Linked DNA regions of Bombyx mori. The protein of the gene in region 1 binds, or shares a complex with, the protein of each later gene. Links are inferred from orthologs where the notes say so. Each region holds a gene or a part of one and is shown on either strand. Other genes may lie near its edges.

What was found.
Region 2: peptidyl-prolyl cis-trans isomerase H (region 1) and U6 snRNA-associated Sm-like protein LSm4 share a complex: the UniProt entries of both Homo sapiens proteins name them as parts of the U4/U6-U5 tri-snRNP complex. The link is inferred for Bombyx mori from reciprocal best matches to the Homo sapiens genes PPIH and LSM4.
Region 3: peptidyl-prolyl cis-trans isomerase H (region 1) and U6 snRNA-associated Sm-like protein LSm2 share a complex: the UniProt entries of both Homo sapiens proteins name them as parts of the U4/U6-U5 tri-snRNP complex. The link is inferred for Bombyx mori from reciprocal best matches to the Homo sapiens genes PPIH and LSM2.

Annotation. Positions count from the first base shown.
Region 1 is NC_085116.1:6,472,010-6,475,071, reverse strand, and holds peptidyl-prolyl cis-trans isomerase H, read right to left. Parts: upstream 1,599-3,062; 5' UTR 1,259-1,598; coding exon 1,175-1,258; intron 1,086-1,174; coding exon 909-1,085; intron 827-908; coding exon 533-826; 3' UTR 515-532; downstream 1-514. Other genes in the region: coenzyme Q-binding protein COQ10 homolog A, mitochondrial, read left to right, coding at 1-345. UniProt on the Homo sapiens protein: PPIase that catalyzes the cis-trans isomerization of proline imidic peptide bonds in oligopeptides and may therefore assist protein folding. Participates in pre-mRNA splicing.
Region 2 is NC_085117.1:3,991,996-3,994,816, reverse strand, and holds U6 snRNA-associated Sm-like protein LSm4, read right to left. Parts: upstream 1,350-2,821; 5' UTR 983-1,349; coding exon 563-982; 3' UTR 524-562; downstream 1-523. Other genes in the region: guanine nucleotide-binding protein-like 1, read left to right, coding at 2,667-2,760. UniProt on the Homo sapiens protein: Plays a role in pre-mRNA splicing as component of the U4/U6-U5 tri-snRNP complex that is involved in spliceosome assembly, and as component of the precatalytic spliceosome (spliceosome B complex).
Region 3 is NC_085129.1:20,029,919-20,032,082, forward strand, and holds U6 snRNA-associated Sm-like protein LSm2, read right to left. Parts: upstream 965-2,164; 5' UTR 892-964; coding exon 604-891; 3' UTR 524-603; downstream 1-523. Other genes in the region: protein suppressor of forked, read left to right, coding at 1,793-1,822. UniProt on the Homo sapiens protein: Plays a role in pre-mRNA splicing as component of the U4/U6-U5 tri-snRNP complex that is involved in spliceosome assembly, and as component of the precatalytic spliceosome (spliceosome B complex).

The DNA of each region.
Region 1 (3,062 bases):
ATCATTGGCTTTCCTCCTATCAATGAAAGCTACACTTCAAATGTTACGCTAGTCAAACCACATTTGGTAAAAGCAGAGTGTTCTGATGGAAGACTCTTCCACCATATGTTGACCCTTTGGAGATTCAGTCCTGGTCTAAAAAGAGAACAGCAGTCGTGTGTTGTGGACTTCCAGATAACATTCGAATTTAGATCAGCTATACATTCACATTTATCTAATTTGTTTTTTGACCAAGTTGCTCGACAAATGGAAGGTGCTTTCATTAAAGAAGTCGGAAGGCGCAATGGGCCGGCAACAATGCAGCCTAGAAAGTTACTAATAAACAATCACACTTTGAAAACTTGACGCTTACTAATTGCAAACCAAAAAAATTAGTTCAATTCAGTGTACATAATTATTGAGTATTTATTGTGATTACTTTATGTAAAAATTTGTGAATATTATATTTTATCTATTAGTCTGTTAGAAATGTGAGGCAGAGCCATTGTGATTTAATGATAATAAAAAGATAAAATTTAAAGTGAAGTTTTATTTACATTTGTCCACATTGAGATATTGTTACTGGTATTTTAGGTTTATTATTTGGTCCTGTTGGTACATTTTCTATTTTCCTCATGACAAGTAATCCATCTATAACTCTACCAAATACTACATGCTTATTGTCTAAGAAATTACATTTTGCACATGTGATAAAGAACTGACAGCCATTCGTGTCTTTACCACTATTTGCCATGGACAATAACCCTGGAGAGTCATGTTTCAAACCAAAGTTTTCATCTGCAAAAGTGCTTCCACCATATATGCTCATAACGCCTGTACCGTCTCCCTAAAATGAATAGTAAATATTAATAAACTTCCATCATGTTCAGTTAGGCATCGTTTTATCATAAACAAAACTTAATACGTACATTTACGAAATCGCCACCCTGAATCATAAAATCTTTTATTACTCTGTGAAAAGTAGCTCCTTTGTAACCTAAGGGCACACCATCCCGCCTGTATTCACCGGTACAAAATTCTCTGAAGTTCTCACTAGTTTTTGGTACTACGTCGGCGAATAACTCGAATATCATACGACCTATTTCCTAAAATAAACATAAATATTTTATAAACATAAATTTTTGTGTGTTCTTTTAAATCTAATAAAAAACAATAAGTTCGGGGAGGTATTTACCGTTGTTCCTACAGTAATGTCGAAAAACACTACTGGATTGTTAGGATTCCTAAGTTGTGACTGTATTTGGTTCCAAGTAGGCATTTCAATGTGTTAATATTGAAATTTTTACTAAAACAACATTACATTTGTGTTAACAATTTAAAACTTCTATAAGTTTTAGTTTGTTTGATGTTTATTGTTACCCGGCTGTCAAATTTTGAGGTTATACTTTTGACATCCTTTCCTTGACATTAGGTAGCTTACAAGCCTATTTGTCCAGATCTAAAAACGGAATTTCTGGTGACTTCAAAGGACAAAACTTCACGTTTAGCGAATTTGTTACATTTTAAGATTATAGCAGTTTCTTCTATTTCGGCGAATCGTAGATAATAATAAAACTATCCTAACCGTTTAATTTCAATTATTTCTAACGCTTAGAATAACTACATAAAGTATTCGTGATCACAGACGACTATGGTATTATTCGTCAACAATTGTATATTGGGCGGGACTTTTTTTCGGGGAAGGACAAAGTCGTGTAAATTATTGTATTTCGTAAATTGTGCGTTTCTTCAGATTTGAACGCCATACCTATCTTATAAGTTTTAATGGAACCTTATTTATTATCTAACAAATACCTACGGTGATGTCTTTCTTAATTCACTTCCTTAAATTTTATCCCATGAGCAATTAATTTAATTCCATTATTCCCCTTACCTAACATACATTTAAATTTATATATATTATATTTATATTTATTTAAAGGTTACAGTTTTGTGACAAGAGTATTGAAATTTGTATGGTCTATCTCCTTTTGCCCGTCCAATGAACAAATTATAGATAATACAATAAAGAATGAATTTCAAACAATCAATCAAAGACTGGGCCAGGCCATAAATAAAATACAAAAAAATTCTAATCAAAGACTGGGAAGTGGGAACAGCAATTGAATTAAAGAGAGGTAAACTATTTTTTATAAATAAAACTCTTTTACGAGTTTTTATTAAATATGGAAAGTAATGACCTACCTATTGATTATTATCAAATACTAGATTGCGATAGAACAGCAAGCCTTGAAGAATTGAAGAAAAGTTATCAGCGACTCGCTTTGACATTACATCCCGATAAAAATAAAACTGATGATTCTGATAATAAGTTTCGCCTATTACAAAAAGCTTGGTCAGTTTTAAGAGAACCTAGCACCAGGAAACAGTATGATGCTACATTAAGTTGCCATGAAAATAGTGATCTATTGCTTTATGAAACAGTAAGACTGTCTGAAATGGTGTTTGACAGTGATGAAAATGTGTATTTATACGATTGTAGATGTGGTGGGGTGTATGTGCTTAATAAAAGTAATTTTGTGCAATCTAGTGTAATAATTGGATGTGATGAATGTTCATTTTCGATTCAAGTGAATAGATAAAAAAGTATACATATTATTGCAGTTTTATTTATTTATTGTTTTATGTTTGGCTGATATTAAGTTTTCATCGGAACGAATACTTACAAAGTGAATGCCAACAACCACCACAGTGTAACTTAAAACTTTGGGTCGGTTTCATTTCGTTTACTTTTTTATGTTAATTAATCTAGATTTCAAAAAAACTTAGTTACTTTATGTAATCATTTTAATTATGTCTGATTATGAAATATTTGAAATTTAAAGTATAAAGTTTAATTATATAAATATAGTATTATAATAAATAGAGTATAAATATTGCAAAGTTCCAAAATATACATCTATATAGTTATCAGTATAGTTTAAAATACAGACATACAATAATCTCCTTCTGATTCTAATATTTAGTCATTCATTTTTTCCAAGTCCAATTCCTAACCATTTATTATTATTATTATAATTTTCGGGCGGGGGCCGAACCTCCTACGAGGTCCCGTGCCTAGG
Region 2 (2,821 bases), on another chromosome or scaffold:
AGTGTTCTATTCAAATGTGATAACTCTATCTGTATCAAGTTTCAAGGATCATCATTAAAATATTGCTTTTACACTGTTTTTTTTTACTCTGTTTTTTACCATTTCATTAATGGGTATTGCCATATTATACAATAGTATTATTACTTTAAGCGTTTTTTGTAAATAAATGATTTCAGTATACTTTGATTTTTTTTATATATTGACACGAATTGAATAGTGTGAAAACCAATTAAAGATATAAAACAAAAAAATGTATTTTCTTAAAATATCAAGAAATAATAAAGTTGTATCCCATTTTAGATTTAACAGAGATATGGGTAGCTTAAATATTTTATATTAATGGATTGATGAATTCATAACTACCTGTGCATCTGCAGTTTCCAAATTATTTAGATATTATTGATTTTCAATGAATTCTACATCAGGATTATGACTAATAAATAATCTTGGATTTGGTCAAATATATGGTTGCTTTGCACCAGCATGTATGGAGGAATTTTGAACTTTAAATGAAACAAAACTATTCCTTAGCCAAATAACTTAATTTATTAAAAAACTTATCTTACATTTTATTTTTATTTTTGTTCTGTGGTCGCGGGTTCCCGCCGCCACGGGCTAGTGGAGGTGCTCTGCCGCGGTTACCGAATGCGCCTCGGCTACCACCACGGCCACCGGTCCTCATGTTTTGCCCGCGTCCCTTGGAAACCTCGTTACGACCGCGCGCTTTAACCTGTGTCTCCTCCTTCACCATGTCGATGACCTCGTCCGGTATTCTCAAGTATTTGATCGTACTACCACGTATATAACATTCCGGCATCCTCCAGAACTTGTCGCCGTCTCTCGACGTGCAAATAACTTCACGTAAATTAATGTTCATCCAATTATCGCAGCTTACGAGATGACCATTGTAAGTTTCGCCATTTTTCAATTCGACAAGCATAGGGTGGTTCTGCGCTGTCCGTAACAAAGATAGCGGCAACATTTTGATGTAATGATCAACTTCGTTTTGAAGTTTATTATTTATTTGTATTAGAAGTTTATTTTCCTACTTTCGCGTTGTTTGGTGTATTGTCAACTTCTTGTTTTTTTAGGTTACTTTAGGACTTTAGGTTGACACTGACAGTGCTCAGTTGTCAGAAGACGCACAGATAATACACTTAATATTTGAGAAGAAGTGAAAATTGCTTCAATGGTAATGTAATGAAGTTTGTGAACAAGAATTTACAAGTAGACGAGTCCAACTGGAGAGTTAAGGGACAGTTCTAGTAGTAGTGAATCTTGTGATGATGATGAATAATAATAAAACAATTTACGTTGCACACCATTGTATTAGTAATAAATAATTAGAAATCTCATTCCTGGTTTCAATTTATTCTAAAGGTGAACCCGTCTACAAAAATTGCATTCAATAGGATAAATGATGAAAAAAAAGAACGTATCGAAACTGGTGTTGAAGGGTTTTGTTGCTGAACTTAATAGTTAAATGTAATGTAACTTTTTTTGTTTTAATTTGACCATACAGCTTACTGTCCATGCAACTATCAATTTCTAGTTCCATGAGAATAAATCTATGTTCGATAATCCAAAGTCAATGACTTTAGCATCCTTACTGTGAGCTGTCAAAATTATCATAAATTTTTACTTTTTGGCGGGAACGCGGGGAGTGAAGTTGTGTGATTTGTTTTATTTTGTCTATTTATTGTTTCTTCAGGTTTAACTGTATAATATCTGTGAAAGTGCACAAGTGTGGGAAATTGAAACAAATCCGCTAGACGTAGCTTGTTGGGATCGTCCAAAGAGCCAATTGAAAAGTCTTAGTAAATGTCCACCATTTTACTGAGATTATATTTCATCCTACATCATCTCATCTCATTTCATTTAATTTCATCTCACTTCATTTCATCTTCATTTCATTTCACTCTATATTATCATTTTTCGTAAAAATAAGAATTAAATAAATTAAAATAAGATTTGACCTAAAAGTTTTAGTTACTAGGTCATAAAATCCCTTAGAAAATATCCTAAATTTGAAAAAAAAAACAGAGTTCAATGCCTTTAATTTGTCGGTCAGCTGTCAATTGTCAATCCTGTGAAAAAAAATGTTTTCAATTGTTAGCCGGTCGGTAGAATAATTTTCATATTCACACGAAAATCAATTAAATAGGTAAAAAGATAATAAGTTCAAGCCCTTCAGTGAGAAATTAGGAATAGATTTCTTGTTTTGAGTCTAACGTAAGTTTGAAACTATTTCTGTACAATTATAATATTCCAAGGAGACCTCGTGTTCCAAATTTTAGTTTTTCTCTTTATTAATTAGTTAAGTTTATTAATTCTTGATTTAATTACGGTTAAAAATCGGTTACGGTTTTTGAAAATCAGATTCTTAATCGCTTATTACGATCAATTAGTTTAGTATATTTGATAAATAATACATTACCCAGTACCTACATTTTTTGAGTTTACACTTACACCTGTAAGCGTTACTTTTGTATCTTCAAATCTGGTCATCAGAGCGAGAAAAAGTATAATGGTAAAATACTATGACGTGATATTCAATAAAATAATTAAAATACCCAGAAAAATATTAAAACTGTACTTGCAGTTCAACAGTTGTAAAGATGTTTACTTCATAATAACATTGTCCATAATTAACAGAGTTACTCGTCATGCCCCAAGCACGTCGGAAGACCCCGTTCAGCGGGAAGGCCAAAAAACAACAACTGCAGTCTAAGAAGCAGAACAAGGTTTTACTCATGCCTAGTACGTATTATCACATATTCGTCCTGAATTTATACAAAATTGAATTAGCTACTACCGCAGA
Region 3 (2,164 bases), on another chromosome or scaffold:
AATTCGAGAACGGCTAGACCGATCTGGCTAAATTTGGTCTTGAATTATTCGTGAAGTCCAGAGAAGGTTTAAAAGGTTCAGGTTTCAGGAAGGTTCAGTGTTTGGCAAGCAACATATTTTAATGATGCTTTTACAATCCCTTCTGCCTATGGAAAACTATGACATGGCCATCTTCAGAAAAAGTATATCTTAAAAATCCAAAATAACAGCTTTGTAAATATTTACATCCAAATTATGTACACTAGAGATCTAAATCAATTCTGGTTTGAAAAAAGGCTTAAGTATTAAGGAATGCAGCTATGTCTAATAATTATCAGTATAGTTTGATGTGAAAGGTAATAAAAACTTTTTTCTGTGATACATTTTTGAGAATGGTAAAAATATAGATGTTTTTTATTGATAAATTATTCTTTCATACTCTGGTATAAAACTTACATAAAACTGAAGAACTAGGTTATTTTTCGATCAAAGGAAACTTTCTTTTCTGAAATGAATATCCGGAGACCGCTACTAAAACACTATATTATAAGAATGATTTATTAAGAAACTTAAGCTTATATTAATATGTACACTTTAAATTGAAGTTGTAGGTTAGGTTAAGTTCTATCTTGTTGAAACGGTCGCCTCCTTTCTAGCGGCATCCTGGAGAAGCTGGGTGTCTACCTCATCAGCCGGCAGTTGTACGTATCGAACCACGGAGCCTCTTATAAAACAATTTTTCACTGATAACATATGAGGATACTTTTCAGAGTCAATCACGCTTATATCCGAAAGCTTTATATTGAGATATTGATCCACAGAATGCAACGTCCCACATATGCTGAGGTCATTTTTCAGCTCGACGACTACATCCTTACCGACTAACGATTTGAAAAACGAGTAAAACAACATTTTTCGTTTTGTTTGTTTGAAAACGCGCTGAAACAGTAATTTGGCTTGGGTTCTTCAATTAATGTCATTTAAAACTCAAAGTCAAAATCATAAAATGTCAATGCCAATAGCTTTTTGTAGCGGTGTGAATCGGTATTTTCCGTAATTTTGTTAGTTTTGTGCAGGAGCACCATCTCATTTCCAATGTCTTGCATTTACTACGTTTTCGTTACCTGTGCTTAAATTTTTAAAACAAATCGGGACTTTTTGGCGGGAACGTAAGGAGTGAAGCTGTGTGATTTATTTTATTTTGTCTATTTAGTGTTTCTTCAGGCTTAAATGTAATAATGTAATCTAATTTAATGTGATAATGGTGGTTTATTGACTGTTTAATATCTGTGAAAGTGTACAAATGTGGGTAAATGAAATAAAGCCGCTGGACATAGCTTCTCGAGATCCTCCAAAAAGTCCACTGAAAAAATCTCAGTCAATGACCACCATTTTACTGAGAATATGTCATCTCATATCATCTCATCTCATCTAATTTAATTTAATTTCATCGCAGTTGATTAATATCTAAAATTAATCATCTTCATTTCATGTCATTTCACTACATAATTGTAACATTTTTCATAAAAATAAGAATATTAATTAAAATAAGACATGACTTAAAGATCTTAATTACCAGGTCATAAAATTCCTTAAAGCGAAATGTATAATCTATAGCGTCCGCTAATCCCGTTTGAGCTTGGTTGAGTTGTTTAATTTTTTAAAGAAAATTGTGTTTTTTTATTGTTTTAAATCGATTTTAACACTGAGAGTAATGTGTCCACAAACAATCAGTACCTCATTTACTTAGTTCTTCGAAAAACTGTTGCTCGGACTTAAAACCAGATAGATAACCTCAAACGTAAACTTCAAAATGGCATCTGTAGATGAAATCGCCGACATTGTGAGTTTTTACGCATTAGTCGCATTAATTGAATATAATTAAAAACTAAAAGAACAAAGGTTTTCTTTTTTGATTTGATATTCCTGAATGTTGTGTAATTCGTTTATATAAGTGCATGTATTAGCAATCGATTGTTGTGTAGTTCTAAACAAGATAGTCATTTAGAAAAAAAAAAGAGGATCCTTAGTTTTATAGATACCGAAAACACGAGAGAGTTGTGACTGCGCTCCAAAACCGGAAGCCATTAAGTAACATTGACTTCGACCTGTAGTAACGTAAACTAATAATCAACCACTAAACCAACATTACAAGCGATTACACTGGAACCAGCTGTCTGCTAAG